Macaca fascicularis: one gene and its partners. The protein of the gene in region 1 interacts with the protein of each later gene in a biochemical or structural test. Links are inferred from orthologs where the notes say so. Each region holds a gene or a part of one and is shown in the gene's direction. Other genes may lie near its edges. The genes, in order: ITK, KHDRBS1, LCP2 and ERBB3.

What was found.
Region 2: the proteins of ITK (region 1) and KHDRBS1 form a complex in vitro, tested with the Homo sapiens proteins (4 studies listed by BioGRID, with this or other methods). The link is inferred for Macaca fascicularis from reciprocal best matches to the Homo sapiens genes ITK and KHDRBS1.
Region 3: the proteins of ITK (region 1) and LCP2 form a complex in vitro, tested with the Homo sapiens proteins (2 studies listed by BioGRID, with this or other methods). The link is inferred for Macaca fascicularis from reciprocal best matches to the Homo sapiens genes ITK and LCP2.
Region 4: the proteins of ITK (region 1) and ERBB3 form a complex in vitro, tested with the Homo sapiens proteins (2 studies listed by BioGRID and IntAct, with this or other methods). The link is inferred for Macaca fascicularis from reciprocal best matches to the Homo sapiens genes ITK and ERBB3.

The regions. Positions count from the first base shown.
Region 1 is NC_088380.1:163,973,481-163,979,168, forward strand, and holds the start of ITK (tyrosine-protein kinase ITK/TSK), read left to right. Parts: upstream 1-1,868; 5' UTR 1,869-1,989; coding exon 1,990-2,127; intron 2,128-5,688. UniProt on the Homo sapiens protein: Tyrosine kinase that plays an essential role in regulation of the adaptive immune response. Regulates the development, function and differentiation of conventional T-cells and nonconventional NKT-cells.
Region 2 is NC_088375.1:203,015,676-203,021,630, reverse strand, and holds the start of KHDRBS1 (KH domain-containing, RNA-binding, signal transduction-associated protein 1), read left to right. Parts: upstream 1-2,652; 5' UTR 2,653-2,786; coding exon 2,787-3,168; intron 3,169-5,955. UniProt on the Homo sapiens protein: Recruited and tyrosine phosphorylated by several receptor systems, for example the T-cell, leptin and insulin receptors. Once phosphorylated, functions as an adapter protein in signal transduction cascades by binding to SH2 and SH3 domain-containing proteins.
Region 3 is NC_088380.1:177,052,937-177,057,861, reverse strand, and holds the end of LCP2 (lymphocyte cytosolic protein 2), read left to right. Parts: intron 1-1,058; coding exon 1,059-1,214; intron 1,215-3,123; coding exon 3,124-3,246; 3' UTR 3,247-3,861; downstream 3,862-4,925. UniProt on the Homo sapiens protein: Adapter protein primarily involved in signaling pathways within T-cells, as well as other immune cells such as platelets, mast cells, and natural killer (NK) cells.
Region 4 is NC_088385.1:62,863,858-62,869,742, forward strand, and holds the start of ERBB3 (receptor tyrosine-protein kinase erbB-3), read left to right. Parts: upstream 1-2,586; 5' UTR 2,587-2,687; coding exon 2,688-2,775; intron 2,776-3,194; exon of another isoform or gene 3,195-3,255; intron 3,256-3,456; exon of another isoform or gene 3,457-3,617; coding exon of another isoform or gene 3,618-3,699; intron 3,700-5,885. UniProt on the Homo sapiens protein: Tyrosine-protein kinase that plays an essential role as cell surface receptor for neuregulins.

The DNA.
Region 1 (5,688 bases):
TTGGCAAAGATAATTCCGAGATAGTGGGTTTGATGGCTCTATGAGAAAGAGAATAAAACTACTTATGATGGCACTCCATGGAGACTGAGCAAATGAAAGACTCCTAACGATTGCAGCAGCTACTGATGATGTTTTGCTTTCCCGGATGAGAACACTTTGTGAAGTCTGTGAATCTTTTCATCTGAACCAAGCAGGTATAAAATGTACTTCTCTCAAAGGAGTTTGTAGTCTAGTTTGAGAAGATAACACTGTATTACTGTATTATCTAGGTTTCCTGGTAGTGACAGAAACCTCAAAATAACTGAGACTCAGAAAATAGATATTAAAAAAGGTAATCCAGGACTGGCATGGAAGATCCATGGTCACCAAGGTCCCAGGCTCTTTCTATCTTATACTCCATTGTCCTCAACATTCAATTTCCACCTCATGATACTAGATAGCTGCTTCAGCTCCAACTGTCACCTCAACATTCTAGTCAGAAGGCAGGAGGAAAATGGAAAGAAAAGGGGATGACAGATCCCACTAAGGAAATTTCCTAGAAGTTGTGCACACCACTTCTGTACATTCAGTTGACCAGAAGACAGTCATATAACTACACCTAGCTACTAGGGAGGCTAAAAATTGTGGTCTTTATTCTTGATGGCCAGATGCCCAGAAAACCATCAGGGATTCAGTCAGTTACTCTTGTATGAAGGAGAGAGTAGATATTTGGGAAAAGCAGCAATCCCTACCTCAAGCCCATATTCAGGGAGAAAAAAAAAAAAAAAAAAGATCTTGTTTGAGCAGCGTATTTTCACACATATATCTTAAAATCTCAGAATAGGGGAGATCATTTAAAATATACCTGTACCCTACCCTCCTGAGTGTCTTGATTATGCTGGGGCATCCAGTATATGAAATAAAATAAGGCTGTTGTCTGGTAATTTACATTTAAAAATAAACATTGGAGAATTTCACTCCTATACAGCAAGAATGATTGTTTCATTTATTATTTATCACTACCCAGTACATGCCATCTCTGCTTACACTAAAATCTCTTGATTATTAACATGGTAGAGATAAATGCCACACATTATTTTTCAACTACGTACTAACTCTAAGGCAACATGCATGACTAGCACCCACCATTTGTAAGAGGTATGGGATTCAGTCCTCCAAGGGACCCTCACAAGGAAGCTAAGGATCAGAGGAGGCACAGCTTGCTCAAAGAGAAACAGCTTAGTAAGTGACAGATCTGGTAATCCAACACAAGTTTGTTTGTTTTTAAAGCCCATATATACTTTGTTTATTATGCCATTCTGAAGGATTCGCTTATTTTTCACTGTTTCACAAAATGTCAGGACAGAAAGGCAATCATCTATATGTAGCATTGAGAAATTTCTGTGGGCTTTAATTTAAATCTTAAAAACTAATAAACTTCAGCAACATATTTCTTCATTTTAATGTGTGAGGGGTTTGTGCTCATTACCTCTTTTAATTGTCAAACCCAATTTGGCGAAGATCCATTCAACAAATTTTTCTTAAACATCTTTTTTATGTGTCAGGCACTGTGATGGTTGCCGAGTATATCATGGTAAGCAAAACCACGCATTGTCCTTACCCCTTGTGCTACATGTTTTAACTGCTGGATGGATTGGATGGATTAAACCAGGAACTATAAAGACTAAACTGTAATCCTTACCATAATTTTAAGTCTACAGTTTTTCAAATATCATTTTGAGCCATATAGCAAAGGCTGTATGTATTTTTTACATATGCTTCCTCGTTTTGTGAATTTTGAAAGGATGTGGTTATGGCCTTTGACATCAGAGGAGACGCTCAGCTATGTTGGCTGAATGTTGATAGAAAGATAACGTTGAAGGCAAGTTGCCCTTGAGCAACTCTCTGAAGATCAACTGCCTCCACATTGCATTCTTTGCCCCAAAACTCTTCCCTTTGGTTGTGCTGAGAGGTGATGCCCAAGGTGCATCACGTTTCAAGAACTGGATCATGAACAACTTTATCCTCCTGGAAGAACAGCTCATCAAGAAATCCCAACAAAAGAGAAGAACTTCTCCCTCGAACTTTAAAGTCCGCTTCTTTGTGTTAACCAAAGCCAGCCTGGCATACTTTGAGGATCGTCATGGGGTATGTGAGCAGTTTCATTTGTCTTTTTTCGCATAGTATTTTATGTTTGGACTGGGCTAATGCAAAAGTATATACATAGCATACAATAGAATACAGGAAACACAAACATGCTTGTTGTAACAACATAAAAAGTACAGTAAAAGTAACCAGAGGAGAATGCAGAGAGCAGTCAAGAGGTGAAATGGTGGTGCGAGGCAATTTCAGTTCTAAAAACTGGAAATTTAATATTCATCAGCTTTTTCCCCGTGCAAGATTATGTTTGATTTTTAAATTATTAATAACATTTTAGGAAGCAAGTATTATGATTCATTAAAACTTGAACTTTCTATGAAACATACCAAATTTAATGAAACATACTAAACTTAATGAAACATACTAAATTTAATGAAACTTAGATTAATACAACATTAGCATTCGATGGGATGATCTACCCCAGCTTGCTTATTTTTAGTGGAAGAAACTGGTGTTTAGAATGGTTAAATTTGGGGTTCCGTGTTAACGTTTTCATGAATAACTCTGTCTGTCGCAATACTCGTCACTTGCCCAATCTTGAAATAAGATTCCCCAGGCATTTAATTGTCTAAAAGTTGTAAGGCACAATGGCAAGCCTCTTCATCTCTTGGTAGACTTCCTAGGACACCAGGTTTATTAAGAACAAAGTTTCTGCAGTGCAGACCAGCGGTTCTTACCCAGAAGAGTATGGCTGCTTAGCTAGGTCAGTCTGTCTCTGTATCTCAAAATAGTCTCATGCTTCTTTAAGATCAGTAATAACAAAAGCAACAGGAATAATCCTAATAATGTAGTTTGGCAGAAAAAGCATTGGACAAAGGGTCAGGAGACCAAACTACTTCTCAGTAGGTGATCCAATCTGGACAAATGTCTACCCCCTATTTCAGGTTCTTTCTTTATCAAAGGAAAAAACTGGAAATAACAACCTTCAAGATCCCTTTCTTCTTTAAAACTTCTTTGCTTTATGCAATGGCTCTTGTTTAGCCCTATGCTGCAATTTTTCAAAGCGTGTTTGATTCCTTACTGTATGGTTATATTATTTTTACATCATTAGTGGGGTAGGACAAAGATTATCACTTATATTTTACTGAAGGGAAAATAATATTAGGTGCCTGATGGTCACTTAGAAACAAAAGTGCTCTGATTCTTTGTTGGAGTCTGACTTAGTAGCTGGAGGCATGAGTTTGGGATTCTTTGGCGTGCCAGGCTTTAAAGCATTTCATGAGGTGGAGCTCCAAAGGAGGTCAGGCTGGGTATAGAGTCTATGGATGCCTCACTTTTTAAAGTTGCAGGTGTTGCATGTCTTTGATGAATTACAAAAAAAAAAAAAAAAGTTACAGGCAAAATAGTGCTGCCTCTTTAAAAGTGAAAAGAATTGCTTGTCTTGTTATCAGACTCTTACTGATAACAATTTACCAGTCAATCAGAAAACACATGGAATTATGTGCGAGGCCTCTGCCAGGTGGCCAGGAGCCCAGTTTGTGAACTTGGGGGATTTATCATGTAGAGCTAATAAATCGCATGGCATTACTCAATGCTTTTTTGTGAATGGAACATTTAAAGTTTTTGTTTCATATTGAAAGAACAGTCATGTACCTTTAAATATTTTTTTCAAAGCCCATTTTACAGTTTTCACCAGTTTGTTTTCCTGATTCAACATAGTATCATCTTATTTAGTTAGTACTAATAATTCTTTAGCCCAATTGTTATTTATGAACTGTTTGTGAATTCAGCTCAATATTATTTGCAAATAATCACAGAACCAGATGGCCTCAATTCAGAATTTTATTGGTCATAATTTGCAAGTAGACAAGGTTGTAAAATCACCCTACTTCTTTATCTGAGCATTATGAAAAATTCCAAGACAATTACTTCATTCTGGGGAGCCCTAGGCTGTAGTTTCTGATACTTCCATGTAAGATACAGAGAATACATGTCCAAACATCAAATTTCTTGTTTTCTAATGCCTTTTTTGCACTTATAAATAACATTTTTAAAGTATTTCTTTAATTATTTAATTATTATAGAAATTGATTAATTAGAAATTTATCCAAGGTCCCTGAAACAGGTAATATATGTGAGTTATTATCGTCCATGTCTTATGTATACTACATCGTTTAGGGCCACCAATTTGTACACAAGAGTGCATTAATATTACTCATAAGTAAATAACATTACACCTGTGGGAAGAACATTTTCATTTTTAAATTAAAGCCTTCACTTTCAATCTGTAAAATGGATGTGATACTAGTACCCATTTCATAGGAAGAAGGCAAAGACTCAGAGGTATAATGTCTTTAGGCTGAACTTTTTGAAATTATTTGGCAGGTCGAATATCAGGTATTAGAAGTCTCAAACAATTCAACTTAATGTTAGGTACTTAGCATAGGCCCTGCCATCTGGTAAGCATCTACTAAAAGTTAACCATTGTTTGTATCCCTTTCACATCTCTACAGAAGCTAGCAGGGTGTCATAACAATTCATTTTCAAATTATGGGAGATATTCAAGGATTCTCCAAAATCAAGCTAAGATCAGGGTCCTGGATTCCTTCTATTCTGTGGCAATACAAGTTTGTGGGGTAGATATACATGCATCATGAGCTGTTTGGCCAGTTATTGCCCCTCTTAGGGTGTCAGAGCTTGTTTTTCTCTTTTCTCATTTGTAAAATTATGATTCCTGCAATTCTCATATTCTATGAATTTATAACACCATATGAAAAATAACCCTTCTACATACTCAAGAACATATTCTGTAGTTCTATAAATCAAGTATATTTATTCTAACCTTAAAAATCATGCCTATTGTCATTATAATACTAATTGATTGAGGCTTTTACTTTAACATGGATTTAGTTCTGGTGTTAGATGCCTGTTTTTCCTATTGAGATGTGCAAGTGTTTTCAGAGGGGCCAAAAAGCGCCTTCATCTTGCTGGAGCAGTGAGCCAGAAAGAAGCATAGATTTGGCAGGTAGCGGCTTGCAGACAGACATGATTTCAGAGTCTCTCCTGTGCCTGTCAATTTTTTTCCAAGTAGTCCCTGATGCCAGAAATTCTATAACAGAGGGCAATGAGAGATAAGGGCACATGAGTGTGCTGGTAAATGCTTAGGAATCCGAGTATGGGGCTTGTTGGATAGCCTTGATTCATAGTGTTTGCCAATTCCTTTGGTGTAAATACTCCCATCATGGCCCATTTTAAACTACCAATGTGAAGTCTGCTGGTTCACAGATTCCTGAAAATTTAACAATTAGCTACCTCAGGCCAGTACAAGCCAAGTCCAGCACATCATTGGCAAGCCTAAGAACAAATGATCCTTGAAGAGGTAGCCACCAACTAAGCAGCATACTTAGTTGCACATGACTGATATCAGATCCTTTTCAGTGGTAAAAAGAAAGTGAAGAACCTCAGGCGCTTTGAGTAAGCACAGAATGGAAGAGGCAGCCTAGATGGGAATAAAGCATCATAGATTGGTGTGGCTCCTGTGGCCACTTTCTAGATGTGGGATCTCAGACCAGACATTTGACCTCTTTATGCCTGTGTCCTATTTGTAAA
Region 2 (5,955 bases), on another chromosome or scaffold:
AAAGTGCTGGGATTACAGGAGTGGGCCACTGCACTGGCCCTTTTTTTTTTTTTTTTTTTTTTTGAGACAAGGTCTCACTCTGTCATCCAGGCTGAGTGCAGTGGGGGCAGTAGTGGCTCACTGCAGCCTCAATCTCCCAGGCTCAAGCAGCAATCTTCCCACCTCAGTCTCTCAAGTAGCTGGGACAACGGGTGCCTGCCACCACACCCAGCTAATTTATTTATTATTTGTAAAGATGAGGTCTCACTATGTTGCCCAGCCTGGTCTCGAACTCCTGGATGCAAGAGATCCTCCTGCCTTGGGATTACAGGCATGAGCCACTGCACCTGGCCTGCACTTAATTTTCAACTATCTTTTTGACATTCATCACATTTCATTCATTACAAGCACTCAAAAATATTTTTTTTCCTACTTGACTGAGGACAAGAGTCACTTCTTGGAACCTCAAAGTAAATGTATATATACTTTTTTTTTTTTTTTTTTTGTGAGGAGGAGTCTCCCTCTGTCACCCAGGCTGGAGTGCAGTAGTGTGATCTCGGCTCACTGCAGCCTCCGCCTCCCGGGTTCAAGCGATTCTCCTGCCTCAGCCTCCCGAGTAGCTGGGATTACAGGCGCCCGCCACCACCCCCGGCTAGTTTCTGCATTTTTAGTAGAGGCAGGGTTTTGCCATGTTGGTCACGCTGGTCTCGAACTCCTCACTTCAGGTGATCCGCCCACCTCAGCCTCCCAAAGTGCTTGGATTACAGACATGAGCCACCGCAGCCGGCCTATATTTTATATTACATATATATAATTTATGTGGATATGTGTGTTTTGTTTTCATTTCTGTGGGTGACTTGGTAAATCCCCTCCCTTAACCCAAGAAGGCCTTTAGGTTCTCTAGTTAAAGGGTTCTAAGTTTCACATCCAAAAATCAACAGTTTCCAGGCACTCAGAAGACAATTTCCGAAGAAACTTTTTTTCCTTGTTTTTTTTGTTTGTTTTTTGGTTTTTTGAACGGAGTCTCGCTCTGTTGCCCAGGTTGGAGTGCAGTGGCGCGATCTCGGCTCACTGCTGCCTCCGCCTCCCTGGTTCGAGCAATTCTCCTGCCTCAGCCTCCCAAGTAACTGGGATTACAGGCACGCACCATCACACCCCGTTAATTTTTATATTTTTAGTAGAGACGGGGTTTCACCATGTTGGCCAGGCTGGTCTCCACCTGGCCTCAGGTGATTCGCCCACCTCGGCCTCCCAAAGTGCTGAGATCACAGGCGTGAGCCACCGAACCCGGTGGAAACTTTTTTATTGTTAGAGATGAGGTCTCATTACATTGTCCAGACTGCTCTCGAACTCCTAGCCTCAAGTAATCCTCCCATCTAGGCCTCCCAAAGTGCTGGGATTACAGGCATAAGCCACCGCACGAGGCCCCAAAGACTTTTGAAAAGTGTGGGCTCATTAGGAGAACTGATCCAGAAGAAAAAGAGATGGGAGTGAGTGCTTTAAATGGAAGAAGAAAAAAATCTGTGGAGGGAACGAAAAGTTAGAGACAGCACTAAGCTTTTGATGGTTTATGGGACAAGTAGGGACCTAACGCTCCACCTGCATATAGCACTCCAGGATGTGGAGAACGCCGTGGGAGACTGGCCATCTGGCCTTTGAGAGTAGTGGCAAGGGTCTCTTTGAGCAAGTCTGGAGTGGTAGAAGGAGCCACCCTAATGATGCAAGCAACGTGGATTAAGGATCTGGTCTCTACTCCACTTTTTGGCAGAAGAATCACTTAATTGGCAATGACAACGGCAAAACAAAACACAATTCAGAGAAAGCAGTAAAATATATAAAAAGAGCTAAAATGCTGCTTAAGATTTCCCTGACCAACAACGGCAACCGTTTTAGAACCGACTGGAAGAGATCTAATACTGGAAATACATACACTGGAAACGACTTCTTGTGTTCCCTATGTCTGGGGCCCTTTTCTTTGCTAGACTTCAGATCTCTGATCCGAGCCATCCCTCTTAGCTCATGTCCTCCAGTAGCCTTCAGAGTTTCCACCGAGCCGTCCTTTCTCAATTTCTCCCTCCAGGTTTCCCTTCCCCAACTTCCCCTCCTGCATCGGACTCTCCCTTAGCCTTCCTTTCTCCCTCCTGTCTTCCTCCCCCGGCGGTCTCAATTCTCTCTCCCTCCCCTTTCCGTGTCCCTCACGGCAGTCTCCTTTTATTTCCTTACTTCGGTGACCGCCCCCCACCCCACTTCCATCCCCACCCCACTCCCCACCCCACTCCCCACAGCCTCCCTCCGCTGCTCAGCCGTTGGAGAGGGCGTGGCCCCGCGAGTAACAGGTCTCCCGCCCCACACTCCGCGGGCCCGCGCGCAGACAAAGACATTCCACAGCTCCCGCCCCCTCCACGCAGTAGGCCAGAAGAGGGAGGAGACACGTGTCCCGCTAGCGCCGAGTCACGTGGAAAAGGAAACGAACGGAGCCTGCGGCCTCCCGCGCATGCGCGTCAAGCTCTGGCCTGGCGGGCGCGGAGGGAAAGCCAGAGTCAGGAGGCGACTTCTTCGGACGCCGCGGCGGTGCGCAGGCGCCGTGGCCGGACTGGGGACTTTGTTCTCCGCGGAGAAACCCAAGGGCGGTGCCGGTGACTGGCTGCGCACGCGCGCCGCCTCATTTCCGGTGCTCTCTCTCGCTGGGTCGCTCGGGTCGGCTTCGGTCGCTACTGCTCCCGCTCTCCCACCCCCGCCAACCGCCGCTTGGGCCTCCGTCGCTGCCGCGTCGCTCTCTCGCTCCTTGGTTTCGCACATCCTCCCCGATGCAGCGCCGGGACGACCCCGCCGCGCGCATGAGCCGGTCCTCGGGCCGCAGCGGCTCCATGGACCCCTCCGGTGCCCACCCCTCGGTGCGTCAGACGCCGTCTCGGCAGCCGCCGCTGCCTCACCGGTCCCGGGGAGGCGGAGGGGGGTCCCGCGGGGGCGCCCGGGCCTCGCCCGCTACGCAGCCGCCACCGCTGCTGCCGCCCTCGGCCACGGGTCCCGACGCGACAGTGGGCGGGCCAGCGCCGACCCCGCTGCTGCCCCCCTCGGCCACAGCCTCCGTGAAGATGGAGCCGGAGAACAAGTACCTGCCAGAACTCATGGCCGAGAAGGACTCGCTCGACCCGTCCTTCACTCACGCCATGCAGCTGCTGACGGCAGGTAAGGGGGCCTCCTGGGTCCCTCGGCCATCCTGGGGCATGAGTGGCCCTGGCTTTGTTCCTCTCGCTTCCCGCCCCCTCGGGACCGAGGCAGTCGGGAGCTCCGGTGTCATCCTCATCTTTGGGAGCCTGGATTCCACATTCCCACCTCAACCCGGAGTGCGTGGGAGAATTTCTAGGCTGCAGTGGAGGCCCAAAGGCGACTTTGCGATCTCCTAGCGCTAACGTCTTGATGGATGGTGCTGAGCTCCCCGCCCCTTTCCCGACTCTTCCCTCCTCCCTCCTCTTGCGGCTGCCGGGCGCACAGATTCTTCCAGAAATTAACCTGTATTTCCCCCTTTCCCGAAGGGAAACCCTTTTTGATCGCGGGTGGCGATGAGCGCTTCGTCCGAGGTGTAGGAAGTGAAGACAGCCGGAGCGGGGAGGGACCGTGGGAGGAAGGGCCGAGGTGAGGTGGGGTGAGGCTGGAATACCCTGTCCAGCGCCTCGCTGTCGCTGGGGCCGAGCCGGACTTAGCGGTAACCGCAGCTTAAGTTGCTGGGAGGAAGGAGCGATTTATGGGATCGGAACTTGAGGTTTCCGAATCAGATTTCCGACTAAGGCTGATAAAGTAAGAATTGCTACTGAGCCTGAAGGTTGTCCTCTTTCATTTTACACTGTGTGTTCACTATCATGGAAGAAGGAGTGAAATAACCCTAGAGACAGTGAAATGGGACGATAGGGTCTCCCGCGTAGTTCACATAACGTTTCCCAACGAGATGGACAGAAGTTGAGAGAAGTGGCATGATGCTTGTACTGAAAGACTTAGTCTTTTTGTTGCTGTTTTTTTACATTTTTGATTCAGTAGTGAAATAAATTAGAAATGAGAGTCTTTGTTCTGTAGATTAGCGCTCTTTTCTTGATCAGCACTAGCCAATCACCTAATCGCTCTGATTTTTCCCTAAAGCTGTGTGACCTTCGCTTCAAGTTAAAACATTATTTTAATAAATATTTCTTATGATACCTAAATTTTAGTAAGCAAGTAAAAATTCACATCCTTCAACACTGAATGAGTAGTTGGACTCTTTGGGAAGGTTAATATAATGGGCAGTTCATTATGAAAATATTATCTCCCTCTCTTTGTTCTCTGTCTCCCAACACTGTAAGGTAAGGGATCTTTACCAGTGTGGTGTTCATCTTTTATATGCTTTCTTAAGATAACTGTCAAAAACTATTGATCCTTAAAAGTTACTTAGAATTTTCAGCCTTCCCTCACTGCTTAACTAAGAGAGGAGTGCTCTTTATTTTTAACCTGGGCTTTCTGGATGTATTTTTTTTTAAACCCAACTGAAATTGGAGAAGTGTGGTTGAGGTAATGTTGGTTTGGGATGTATGAATTCTTTTTAGCATGGGTAAGTGTTAGTATATGTTGAGCCTGGCTTTTAAGGTATTTCTGAATTATCTTGCGAGGGGATTGCAGTGAAGTCGCAACCCATTGTGAGGAAGTGAGACTTTGAGAAGATAGAATAGTAGTATTTAAGCTCTGGTAAGATCACATGGAAGGGGCGGGCGCGGTGGCTCATGCCTGTAATCCCAGCACTTTGGGAGGCCCAGACGGGCGGATCACGAGGCCAGGAGTTCGAAACCAGCCTGACCAACATGGTGAAACCCCCGTCTGTACTAAAAATACAAAATTAGCCTGGCGTGGTGGCGCATGCCTGTAATCCCAGCTACTTTGGAGGCTGAGGCAGGAGAATCGCTTGAACCTGGGAATCGAAGGTTGCAGGGAGCCCAGATTGCACCATTGCACTCCATTCTGGACAACAAGAGCTAAACTCCATCGCAAAAAAGGAGAGGAAAAAAGAACACATGGAAGAAAAATATAGCTAAGACTTCATGTTTGAGGTCTGAGCACTTTACATTAAATATTTAACCTATGAAATGAGAACTTTTATTATCCTCATTTTTACAGATGAGGAAACCAAGGCACCCAGAGATTAATAATTTGCCTAAGGTAACAAAATTAGTAAGCAGCATAACCAGGGTTTTAAGTCAGTCTACACACCTTCCCCGTTCCCTCACTGTAGTGCCTGCTGCAAATTATACTTTAAAAGTAAGCTATAATTGGACAAAATATTAAAATCTAGCTGGGGTGATAGGTGACCCAAAAAAAAAGTGTATTTGAAAGTATAAAAAAAAAAAAGACAAAACTTTGAGGGATGTAGATTTTGAATATAGACTTCTGTGTTAAGCAGATTGATATTCAGCAGCGAGGACAGTCGAATGTATTTGCAGACATAAAGATTCAGTCATCCATCTTTGTTTTCTGGAAGAGAAATAATTTACCTTATTGTGTTAATGTATTTATATACTAAGTAAAATGCTGTTATATATGTCAGTGTTCTTTTTCTTTTTTTTTTTTTTTTTTTGAGACGGAGTTTCGCTCTTGTTGCCCAGGCTGGAGTGCAGTGGCGCAATCTCGGCTCACCGCAACCTCTGCCTCCCAGGTTCAAGCGATTCTCCTACCTCAGCCTCCCTAGTAGCTGGGATTACAGGCATGTGCCACCACACCCGGCTAATTTTGTATTTTTAGCAGAGACGGGGTTTCTCCATGTTGGTCAGGCTGGTCTCAAACTCCCGACTTCAGATGATCCGCCCATCTGGGCCTCCCAAAGTGCTGGGATTACAGGCATGAGCCACTGCGCCCGGCCTCTTTTTCTACTTTCTACAACTAGTAAAATATAAGTTAGTGTAAGTGACTCAAGAATAAACATTTTGAATAGATTAGCAATCTGCAAAAGATCTTGGA
Region 3 (4,925 bases), about 13 Mb from region 1:
CCGACACTTTACCTTAAATTTATTTATCGGAAATGGGAAAGCAAAACTCTTTCATCTTTCACATCTAAACTCCACACCAGTAGTTCTCAGTAGTAGCTGCACATTTAAATCACCTGGAGAACTTTTGAAAAATCCCGATTCCTGAGTCTCGCCTTAAGATTCTAATTATTCTGGGGTGCTGTGTCAGCTCTGGAGTCTTCAAAACTTCCCAGGTAATTCTGATTTGAAGCCAAGACTGTGAATCACTGATCCAGAAGTATGTTTGTTTAGCAGAGATGTTCTGACAGGCTCAATTAACTTGCAATAAAACGAACAAAGGAAAGCCATTATTGCCAACTCATGGCTATTTAAAGCTATCCTGATTTGGTATGAGGAGAAGGGAGTAGTTTAAAGGAGTCCTTTCCAATTAATTCTATCTTAATATTAGATCTTTATAGCATTAATATTATGTAGCAATAATTTATTGAATGGAAATTTAAAGTACAGGACAATCAAAACAGTAGTTTAGCAAATATCAGAAAAAAAGAAAAGAAAAGAGAACATCTGCATTCAATTTTGTTCAAGTGTCTGATGAAGGAAAGACTATCTAGGGATCACAAGGTTTTAAGAAGGGTGAATTTCACGGCATTTGGGTCTTTTCTGACTTTGGATGTGGAAGAGAAAGGTTAGGGAATTAACTCACAGGAATAGTAGGAAGATATATCTTGAGTTAACCAATAAAGTTTTTTATTTCTCCTGGCCTTTTATCCACTCAACCACCCATTATTTATTAGGGAACAAAAGATTCCATTTTTATAAGAGACTTTAACGAGATTGACTCGGAAATTTCTCTGATACAATCTCTGTTGCCTTTCTTAACAACAAAATAACTCATGACACATGGGATCTGTAGCTGTGTGGAGAACTGAATGTTCGTTGAATGACGGGTTTTGCACTCAAGAAGCTGCAAAGTGCAACTGACATGTTTGTCAGATCCCTGGAGGCTGGTCTACTATTCTTGCAAGCAACAAAAATATTGACTTTTACTCTCCCATAATAACAGGAATTTATCTTTTTAGGATGGCACATTTCTGGTTAGAGACAGCTCTAAAAAAACAATAACCAATCCATATGTCCTCATGGTGTTGTACAAAGATAAAGTTTACAACATCCAGATCCGTTATCAGAAGGAAAGTCAAGTTTACTTGTTGGGAACTGGACTCCGAGGGAAAGAGGTAAGGATTTCAAATTTCAACATTTTCCCAAAGTCTTTTTTTATGCCACTCTGCATGCCTTCATGGAGCAATCTTTGGAAGTCCATGCTGTATGGCAAATTTAGAATTAAATCACATTAGTGAAGCCCTTCATTTATTGGAAGAGAAATAAAGCAAAATCTTTACAATGGTTACTTCTGCCATAGGATTCTTTCTTGTATATCTTTTATTCCAAATAATCCCATGTATAATTTTCAAAAGCAAGAAAAAGTATGTTAACTTAAAAAAATCTATTTAGATGGTGTCAAAGGTAAGTTCCTGCTATTATTCACCTCTGTGACATAATTTTAATGTAGGTTGCATTTTAAGTTGACACCACCTGGAAAAGAGGAAAAATTATAATATTTGCTGGGGTGATTATTCAAATACTTGGCTCATTTCTTAACAAAATGGAGCTTTGGCCTTGTGAAGATGGCCAGATTGCCAAAGAAATTCTTCTCTGTTAGGCCAAGGTTTAGATTCTCATGCCAGTCACTTTTTGAGTGATAATCAGAACTGATGGAAAAAAACCCTCAGGGCTAGTGTTTTGCAAAGGAAACTAACAACTGAAGGTAATGCCCCAAACAAATTCTAAGTTCAAAGTTCCAAGAGGAGGACCAGCTGAATCAAACATGTCCAGAATGAGAAACAGCTTACCCATAACTTCGGCTTCACATACTTCTGTTATGATAATGATAATGAATAGAAAACAAAATGCATACTTGTGGTCAAATGTTTGAATCACTGGTTGGCAGTGGATAGAGCTGCACAGACCCTATAGAAGCAGAGGTATTTGCCCTTCAAGATGTATCTTGGTACAGTGTGGAAACACACAAGTTCAGGCCAACCACTCATTGCAGCTCCCATGGAGGCAGGCACCTAGCAGATTAGTCTTCAAGGAAGTGCATTATCCTGTTAGGGTTCCTAGGTGAGTTGTGACCCATGTCTAGAAAAATGAATTAGGCTTTTCCCTCTCTAGCAAGCAATCAAGGCTGGGGCGATCCAGGCTATGGCTGCAAAGACTTGCCTGCTGAGCCCTTATGAGTGTGAAGGTGGCAGTGAGGACACAGCAGAGAGATCAGGAAGGAACCCCCGTGCCATGCTGCATATCCCACCTCTAGACACCATGAACTGTGTCTGACCTCCTGAGTCCTTATACTTCCTAACACTATTAACGACTGGGGGTGAAACAGAGATACAGAAACTGAAACCAAAACCAAAAACAGAGCAACCTGAGGCAAGAATATTGTAATTGTGACTATGTACATGACCCCTTCATATGAAGTTAAAATATATGCGTTTCAAATTACATATATATATATATAAATACACACACACACACACACACACACACGTGCACATATTTTATCTTTTTTTTTTTTTGAGATGAAGTTTCCTTCTTGTCACCCAGCCTGGAGTGCTGCAGTGGTGCAATTTTGGCTCACTGCAACCTCCGCCTCCCAGGTTCAAGCAATTCTCCTGCCTCAGCCTCCCAAGCAGCTGGGATTACAGGCGCACGCCAGCAAGCCCAGCTAATACTTTTGTGTTTTCTAGTAGAGACAGGGTTTCACCATGTTGGTCAGGCTTGTCTCAAACTCCTGACCGCAGGTGATCCACCTGCCGTGGCCTCCCAAAGTGCTGGGATTACCAGCGTGAATCACCGCACCTGGCCCGTATTTGATCTTTTATCTATGGTTTGCTGGATGTTTATGGGAAATTTTTCTTCAAAGTTCTATAGCAGAAATCATTAAACTAATTGCCACATTTACATTTTTTCCCACAATCCTCATCACTTGAAGAGGCAGGATATATTATGCGGCTAAAAAACTGAAGGTGAAGTTCCTGCTTTTCATTCCAATGTTGACTCATCCCCCTATCTTGGCTCTTCCAGGACTTCCTGTCTGTGTCAGATATTATTGGCTACTTCAGGAAAATGCCACTTCTGCTCATTGATGGGAAAAACCGAGGTTCCAGATACCAGTGCACATTAACGCATGCGGCAGGGCACCCATAGCAAGTTAGAGCCGAGCGAGCGAGCCCTCCTCCTGCCTCTGCTGCCAGCACGAGATCAACCAGCCTTGGCCAACGGACAAACACTTAGGACTGAACTGAACCCCTCCCCATGAACACAAGGGTTTTAGCCTTCCCTTTAAAAACAGTGTTTGAAATGAAGACTGTCAAATATCCCATAATTTATTTATTCTTCTTCAATGTTTGTAAAGTGCATAAGTCATGTTCACACTTGAAGTCTAGTAGTGCACTGTAATAATTCATTTTTTAAAAGTTTTTTTAATGCCCATTTCAAAATACAATAGTTTACACAGCTACAAAAACAATTTGGGGCAAGTTTTAAAACACTGAAACAGTAATAGTTATTGGTATCACATAAAACTGATTTTCTTACAGCCAAACCTCTGTCAGTCAGAGGCATTTATTAGTTTTATACATGTAATTTGAAAATTACTAAACCTCATTTTCTCAGCAGCAATAATTTAAGAGGCTTCAAAAATATAATTTCACTCTTACTTATTTGGTATTTTTTTCCTGGGGGGATTTTTATGTAATTTTTTTATGAAAAGATAAATGCATGTTGAGATAACTTCTGGGATTAAAATAGTCTTTTGCTTTACTTTTTTGGTTTCCTAAAACAACTTTATTGACTTTTAGTCCATACTGTTATATTTTCGTCTTAAAGAAAATTTAAACTACAAATACCAAAACATTTTAAATTTAGGGATAAGACTTTGGTGTATCGTGGGTCTATGTTTAATAAATACATCTGGGGTTAAATTGCCGTTTCTTCACATCTCCACACCCACACTAACCATTACACCTCCCCACCAACCTTCTCTCAACCCCAAAAGCATTGTCCAGGGACATAGATTTTACCAAAGGCTCCCTGGGAGGATGAGGGAGCAACACTTTAGATAAATTTGATCAGACTTTCTTATTAGATATGGCTCTTCTATCTCTTGTTATCCCCCTGACAGCTCTGCCATAAAGTCCCTTCTCCTCATCCTTCCCAAACAGGTTGTATAAGTGCTTTGAAGTAACTAAACTCTTTCCTTCAGTTTACTAATCTCACTTAACAAAAAATATAGGCATTCAGCCAGATTAAAAAACTGGTATTCAGTCAAATAGTGACAATCAGTTGTTCTTCAAGTTTTTCCCTTTGGGACCTTGGTTGTTATTGCACAACTTTTATTAGCAACAATTTTTGGTATCTCTGCTTAATCTGCAAGTTTTCGAAATGGAAAAGAGTATCTTGCATCTTCATTTTCATGAGCTAATAAAAGGGGTATTGGAAGGAATCTAAGAAGTCACCATTTTAAAACTGATGATATGTTAAGATAAGGAGTATGCGGAATGTAGAGACTTTTAACTGGTAAAAATGATGTTTCACAAAATCTCATCCTTAATAACCAGAAGTTCTCAGTTAGGGTCCAAAACTTGGGAGTTCTAAGGCTGAAAACTCTGCATTCATTTACATGTCTATACAATAGGCTATTCAGCAAGTGTTTACTTAGTGTCTCTTCTGTGGTAAACAAGTGAGCTAGGTACAAGGTAATAAGGATAGCATACACCACAGGTTCTAGTATCGAGTAAGCTCAACTTGTCTTGCTTCACCGTATTCTATCCTTACGATTCAAAAATATCTAAAATGAAGGACCTGATCGATTTCAAAGCGACTAT
Region 4 (5,885 bases), on another chromosome or scaffold:
GGGTAAACTGAAGTGGGAGGATTGCAGAGGCCAGGAGTTCAAGACCAGCTTGGCCAACATAGCCAGACTCCCCATCTCTACATCATACAAAAATAATAAATAAATCCTAGGTAGGGCCAGGCCTGGTGGCTCACACCTGTAATCCCAGCACTTTGGGAGGCCAAGGTGGGTGGATCGCCTGAGGTTGGGAGTTCGAGACCAGTCTAGTCAACACAGTGAAACCCCATGCCTGGCCTTATCTAGGATTTTCATTTATTCAGTCAGGACAGCACCCAACAGAGCTGGCCGGTTACCTGGCAGCTTTATCTATTGTGTATATCCCAGGTACTTAGCATGATGTTTCTCTAAGTGTTGAAGAATCCATCGCATCTTGGGATCTAGCTGAGAGAGAAGGGTTAGGGTTGGGAAAATAGCAGAAGATACAGCTAGCATTCACTGAATGCTTCTTAAAGGTTGAGCACAGTAATTCAGAGTTCCACCTGACTTTTCTCATTGAATCCAAACAACAGTCAGCTGGATGCGGTGGCTCATGCCTGTAATCCCAGCACTTTGGGAGGCTGAGGCGAGTGGATTACCTGAGGTCAGAGGTTCAAGACCAGCCTGGCAAAAATGGTGAAACCCTATCTCTACTAAAAACGCAAAAATTAGCCAGGCGTGGTGGCAGGCGCCTGTAATCCCAGCTACTCAGGAGGCTGAGGCAGGAGAATCGCTTGAACTCGAGGGGTAGAGGTTGCAGTGAGCCGAGATCAACCCATTGCACTCCAGGCTGGGCAACAAGAGTGAAACACCGTCTCAAAAAAAAAAAAAAAAAAAAAAAAATTCCAAACAACATTTTTTTTTTTTTTTTTTTTTTTGAGACGGAGTCTCGCTCTGTCGCCCAGGCTGGAGTGCAGTGGCGCGATCTCGGCTCACTGCAAGCTCCGCCTCCTGGGTTTACGCCATTCTCCTGCCTCAGCCTCCTGAGTAGCTGGGACTACAGGCGCCCGCCACCGCGCCCGGCTAATTTTTTGTATTTTTAGTAGAGACGGGGTTTCACCGTGGTCTCGATCTCCTGACCTTGTGATCCGCCCGCCTCGGCCTCCCAAAGTGCTGGGATTACAGGCGTGAGCCACCGCGCCCGGCCCAAACAACAGTCTTATAAGTAGATACAACAGTTTATAAACAAGGAAGCCAAGGAAGATTTTCTCCTTCGGAACTTGGACCCTGAATACTAGGTTGAGCTGGAGCTGAGTGAGTAATAAAATGAAAAGCCCTTTAATGTGGAGGAGGGTAGGTAGGAGTGGAGACCCTTAAGTGGCATCAGCTCTGTTATCCGATGGGAGTGTGAATCCGAACACATGAAGCTCCAGTCTCAGTAGAACAGTAAGAAATCCTAGGGAAGGCCAGGCAGGGTGCTTCACACCTGAAACCCCAACAATTTGGGTAAACTGAGGTGGAAGGATTGCAGAGGCCAGAGGCCAGGAGTTCAAGACCAGCTTGGGCAACATAGCCAGACCCACCCGCCCCCATCTCTACATCATACAAAAATAATAAAGAAATCCTAGGTAAGGCCAGGCGGTAAGGCCAGGTGTGGTGGCTTACACCTGTAATCCCAGCACTTTGGGAGGCCAAGGTGGGTGGATCTCCTGAGGTCAGGAGTTCCAGACCAGCCTGGTCAACACAGTGAAACCTCATCTCTACTAAAAATACAAAAATTAATCGGGTGTTGTGGCAGGCACCTGTAATCTCAGCTACTTGGGAGGCTGAGGCAGGAGAATCGCTTGAACCCAAGAGGCAGAGGTTGCAGTGAGCCGAGATCAAGCCATTGCACTCCAGCCTGGGCAACAAGAACAAAACTCCGTCTCAAAAAAAAAAAAAAAAAAAAAAAAAAGGGAGAAAAAAAGAGAAAGAAATTCTAGGTAAAAGTCTGAGCCCCACTTCTCAGTCACCTGATCACCTCAACCACTGTCACCAGGTGGATGACCTTGGTAATGTCACACATTTCAAGTTCTGTAAAATGGAGAGTTATATTGCCTAAATCATATAATTTTTATGTTAAGTGACACATTCTCTAAGGCGCTAAGTTTGAGGACATACTTTGTAAATGAAATGATATATGGAGATACTGTATATGTTAATGGTTTTGTTGTTGCCATTATTATTATGACTGCTATACACGTGGTCTGGAGAAAGCCAACCTCCCCAAAGCAAAGGTTCTCCAACAGAGAACAGGCCCTCTAGGTTGCATATCAATACAGAGCCTGTTTAAGGAATGTTAGCCGGTAGTCTTTGCTAGGCCTGAGGGGTGAAATTTTTGTTTATCAAGACTCAACTGTTTTCGAAGTCTTCAGGCTTGAAGTTCTGGGGAAAATAACTAGGCACTCTGGGCGAGATCCCCAATACCAGTTTAAGGGATTTGAAATGCAAGGCCGTCTGGGACTCCACTGCCACAGGCTGGGCACCAGGCGGCGCCGGTCGGATCCGTCCCGGGACTAGCAGGGCTTTGGGCCAGTCCGGGCAGCTGGTGCTGGAGGTTCCAGAGGTCCACGCCATTGGTGGACGCAGTCTCTAGTGTCCTCTCCGCATCCCGCTTCACCGCCCCACCCCTTTCCTGCGCGAGCCTGGACTTGGAAGGCACCGGGGAGGGTGTGAGCGCCTTGGTGTGTGCCCATCTGGGTCCCCAGAAGAGCGGCGGGAACTGCGGCCGCATGGACGGTGCGGCCAGACTCCAGAGTGGAAGGGGAGGCAGCTGTTCTCCCAGGCGGCCGTGGGGGGCAGCAGAGGGGACGGCGACAGGTGCGGGAGCCCCTCCCGGGGTAGAAGTGGAAAGGCGGGCTCCGGGGTCTGTTCGCAGGCTGGAAACCACCCCCGCCCCCCATCCAAATCCCGGGAGAGGCCCGGCCGGCGCCGGGTCTGGAGGAGGAAGCGGCCGGAGACAGTGCAATTTCACGCGGCCTCTTTGGCTCGGGTTCCTGGGCTGGGTGGATGAGTTATGGGGTTTCGAGTCTGGGAGAAACTGAGGTGGCCTGGACGTGAGGCAAAAAACACCCTCCCCCTCAAAAACACACAGAGAGAAATATTCACATTCTGAGAGAAAATCCACCAAGTGAACCAACCGGCTAGGGGAGTTGAGTGATTTGGTTAATGGGCGAGGCCAAATTTCAGGAGGCTGGGCTTTGGAGCGCTTACCACTCCCTCATTCATTACCCTTCCCTGGATCTGGGGGCTTTTGGAATCTTGACCTCCCCTTGGCCCAGCTCCTGCAGAAAAATTAGGGTGAGCCCCATCTTCGATCTGCTCCGCCAAGTTGCGGGACCGCGGGGCGTGGCGCGCTCGGGGCGGGCAGTCCGAGGCTCCGCAATCCCTACTCCAGCCTCGCGCGGGAGGGGGCGCGGCCGTGACTCACCCCCTTCCCTCTGCGTTCCTCCCTCCCTCTCTCTCACACACACACACACCCCTCCCCTGCCATCCTGCCCCGGACTCCGGCTCCGGCTCCGGCTCCGATTGCAGTTTGCAACCTCCGCTGCGCCGCAGCAGCCACCAATTCGCCTGCGGTTCAGGTGGCTCTTGCCTGGATGTCCTAGTCTAGGGGCCCCCGGGCCGGACTCGGCTGGGCTCCCTTCACCCTCCGCGGAGTCATGAGGGCGAACGGCGCTCTGCAGGTGCTGGGCTTGCTTTTCAACCTGGCCCGGGGCTCCGAGGTGGGCAACTCTCAGGCAGGTAAGTGGCGCGAGAGCACTGGCGGGCTCGGCACCTGGGAGCCGGAACCCAGTGCGCGAAGCCTCTGAGGGCATGGGCAGGGTCTCAGGCGGCGCGGGGGTGTGGGTGCTGCCCCCGTACGCCGGACCACCTGGGAGTGGGGCGATCAGGCTCGGGTTATCGGCGTGGTCCGGCCGAGGGCGGCATTCTTGGACCCTCACGCCCCCTTCCCCAGAGCGTCGTCGACCCTCTAATTGGTCTCCCCAAAAGAGGCTGAGGCCGCAACAGTAGTTCACACTTCTGAGGGACCCTGCAGGGAGCGGGGCAGGGACCTTAATTCTATAAACAGGAGGTGCTTGGAGGTGGGGGCCTTGGCGGAAGGGTCTCGGTTTGCTCGCCAGCTTCCTGCCCGCCACCCCGCACCGATTTCTGCTACTCCTAGTTTCGTTGTTTTGCCGACAGGGCGGAGCTACGGAAGGTTGGAGGGGGTTGTTGTTCTCTAGTGTTGGAAAAACAGGAGCGGCACCTCCTCTTCCGTGAGTGAGCCTGCCCTGGGGAGGTCTGAGATTAACCAGAGGGCCAAGTTCAGGTGACATCAGGCGGGAGGCCCAACAGAGGCTGGCGTCCGCTTTCCTCAGAATAGCAGAGCTTGAGCAACATCTCTTTGTCAAGATCCAGGTCAACCCAACTCATATTTATTGAGCATCTACTATATACAAGGCGCTAGGCCAGGAACTGTAGGGGCAAGGATTGTCCAGCCTCTTGTCTTTTCTCTCCCCAACCGGAGGATCAAGAGGGCACCTCTACTACTTTCTAAGCCTCCTGCCTTGGGGAGTCCTACCTGGGCCCATCTTGTGCCCCCTGCCCCCATTTTGCTTATTGTCTGAGGACCCTAGACAGAGCCCTGGATTGCTCTTCTCCAGTCCTCCCCCGACTCCCATGCTATCTGAGCCCACCCCTTTGGGGTGTCTCTGGGGCCGTGGACACCTGAGGTTTGAAGTTCTGTGGATCTCCTCCCCTCCCCCCAGATTTCAGCTTGGGATTTGGCACAGCCAGGGCCCCTTCCCCAGTGTGGGAGTGGAAGAAACCACCTGTGCTTCCCCCACAGTTGCTGGGCCTAAATTTAGATCCTGGGATTTTTAGATGTGAACACTCCCAGCTGGTGGAGGGGGGTGGTCTGGGGACTGGCGTGGGAGGGAGCAGTGGGGTGACTGTATAACTGTCCCATCCAGACTCCCGCAATCTTCACCCAGAAACCCAGGAGTACCAGAGTCTGGCCACCCTCCCTGGGTAGGCAGGAGGCAGGCATGGTTGGGTCTCTTTACCCTTTATCTGGGTCCTGCAGCCTCTGGGCATCCGGCCCTGTCTCAGTCCTTCTATAGCCCCTTTGTCCTGGCTGTGATGGGGGTGGGGGATGTTGGAGGGGAGGCTTCTGGTTGAGGAGGGGCTGGAGATTCTGGCTCTATCCCACCCCTAGTGCTCTCTACCAAAGGAGTGCCTGTGCCACTGCCCCTCCTTATGCTCCCGGTCCCTGGGTACAGGAGGGATTTTTATGATTCCCTTCCCCTGCCCTGCTCCCCAAGCTGCCTAGCTCCTCCCCAGACGTGTTGTTTGTGCTCCCTTCCTGCCCAGGCCCTTTGCCCCCTGTTTGTGTAATATGGACTTTACCCTCAGGGGAGCAGGGAACTGGGCTACCTCTAACACTGTAGCCTTCCAAGCACAGACACAAAGTCTGCACAAACACATATGGGCACGTGGGATAGATGGGGCCACCTGAAATACTTCCTGCAAGGAAACCCGACCACAGGTTCCTGGGCCAGCAGGACCAATGTGTACGTGTTCATGTGTATGTTGTGTGTGTGTGTGCCCACACTACTACTTCCCTGTGCAGAAAACTTGGCTCCTCCCTTATCTGGGGAGAAGGATTGGCACTATAACTTGGGAAAGGGGGTGTCCTGCCAGGAAGGGGACTGGGGTGGGGCTGTTCCAGAAATGACTAACCTTCCTAGTCTCTTTCATTTCAACCCAAGGACCCTGGAGTTACCAGCTCCTCTGGAACTAGCTCTCTTTGCTGGGACTAGCCAACCTTCATGGGGAGTGATAAGGAGCCCTCCAAGGTCAAGAATTCAGACTAGGGGTATATAAGAGGGATTGGGGCCTCACCAGTCTCCCTCCCTCCATTCCCACTGTTGCCTCCCACTGACTAC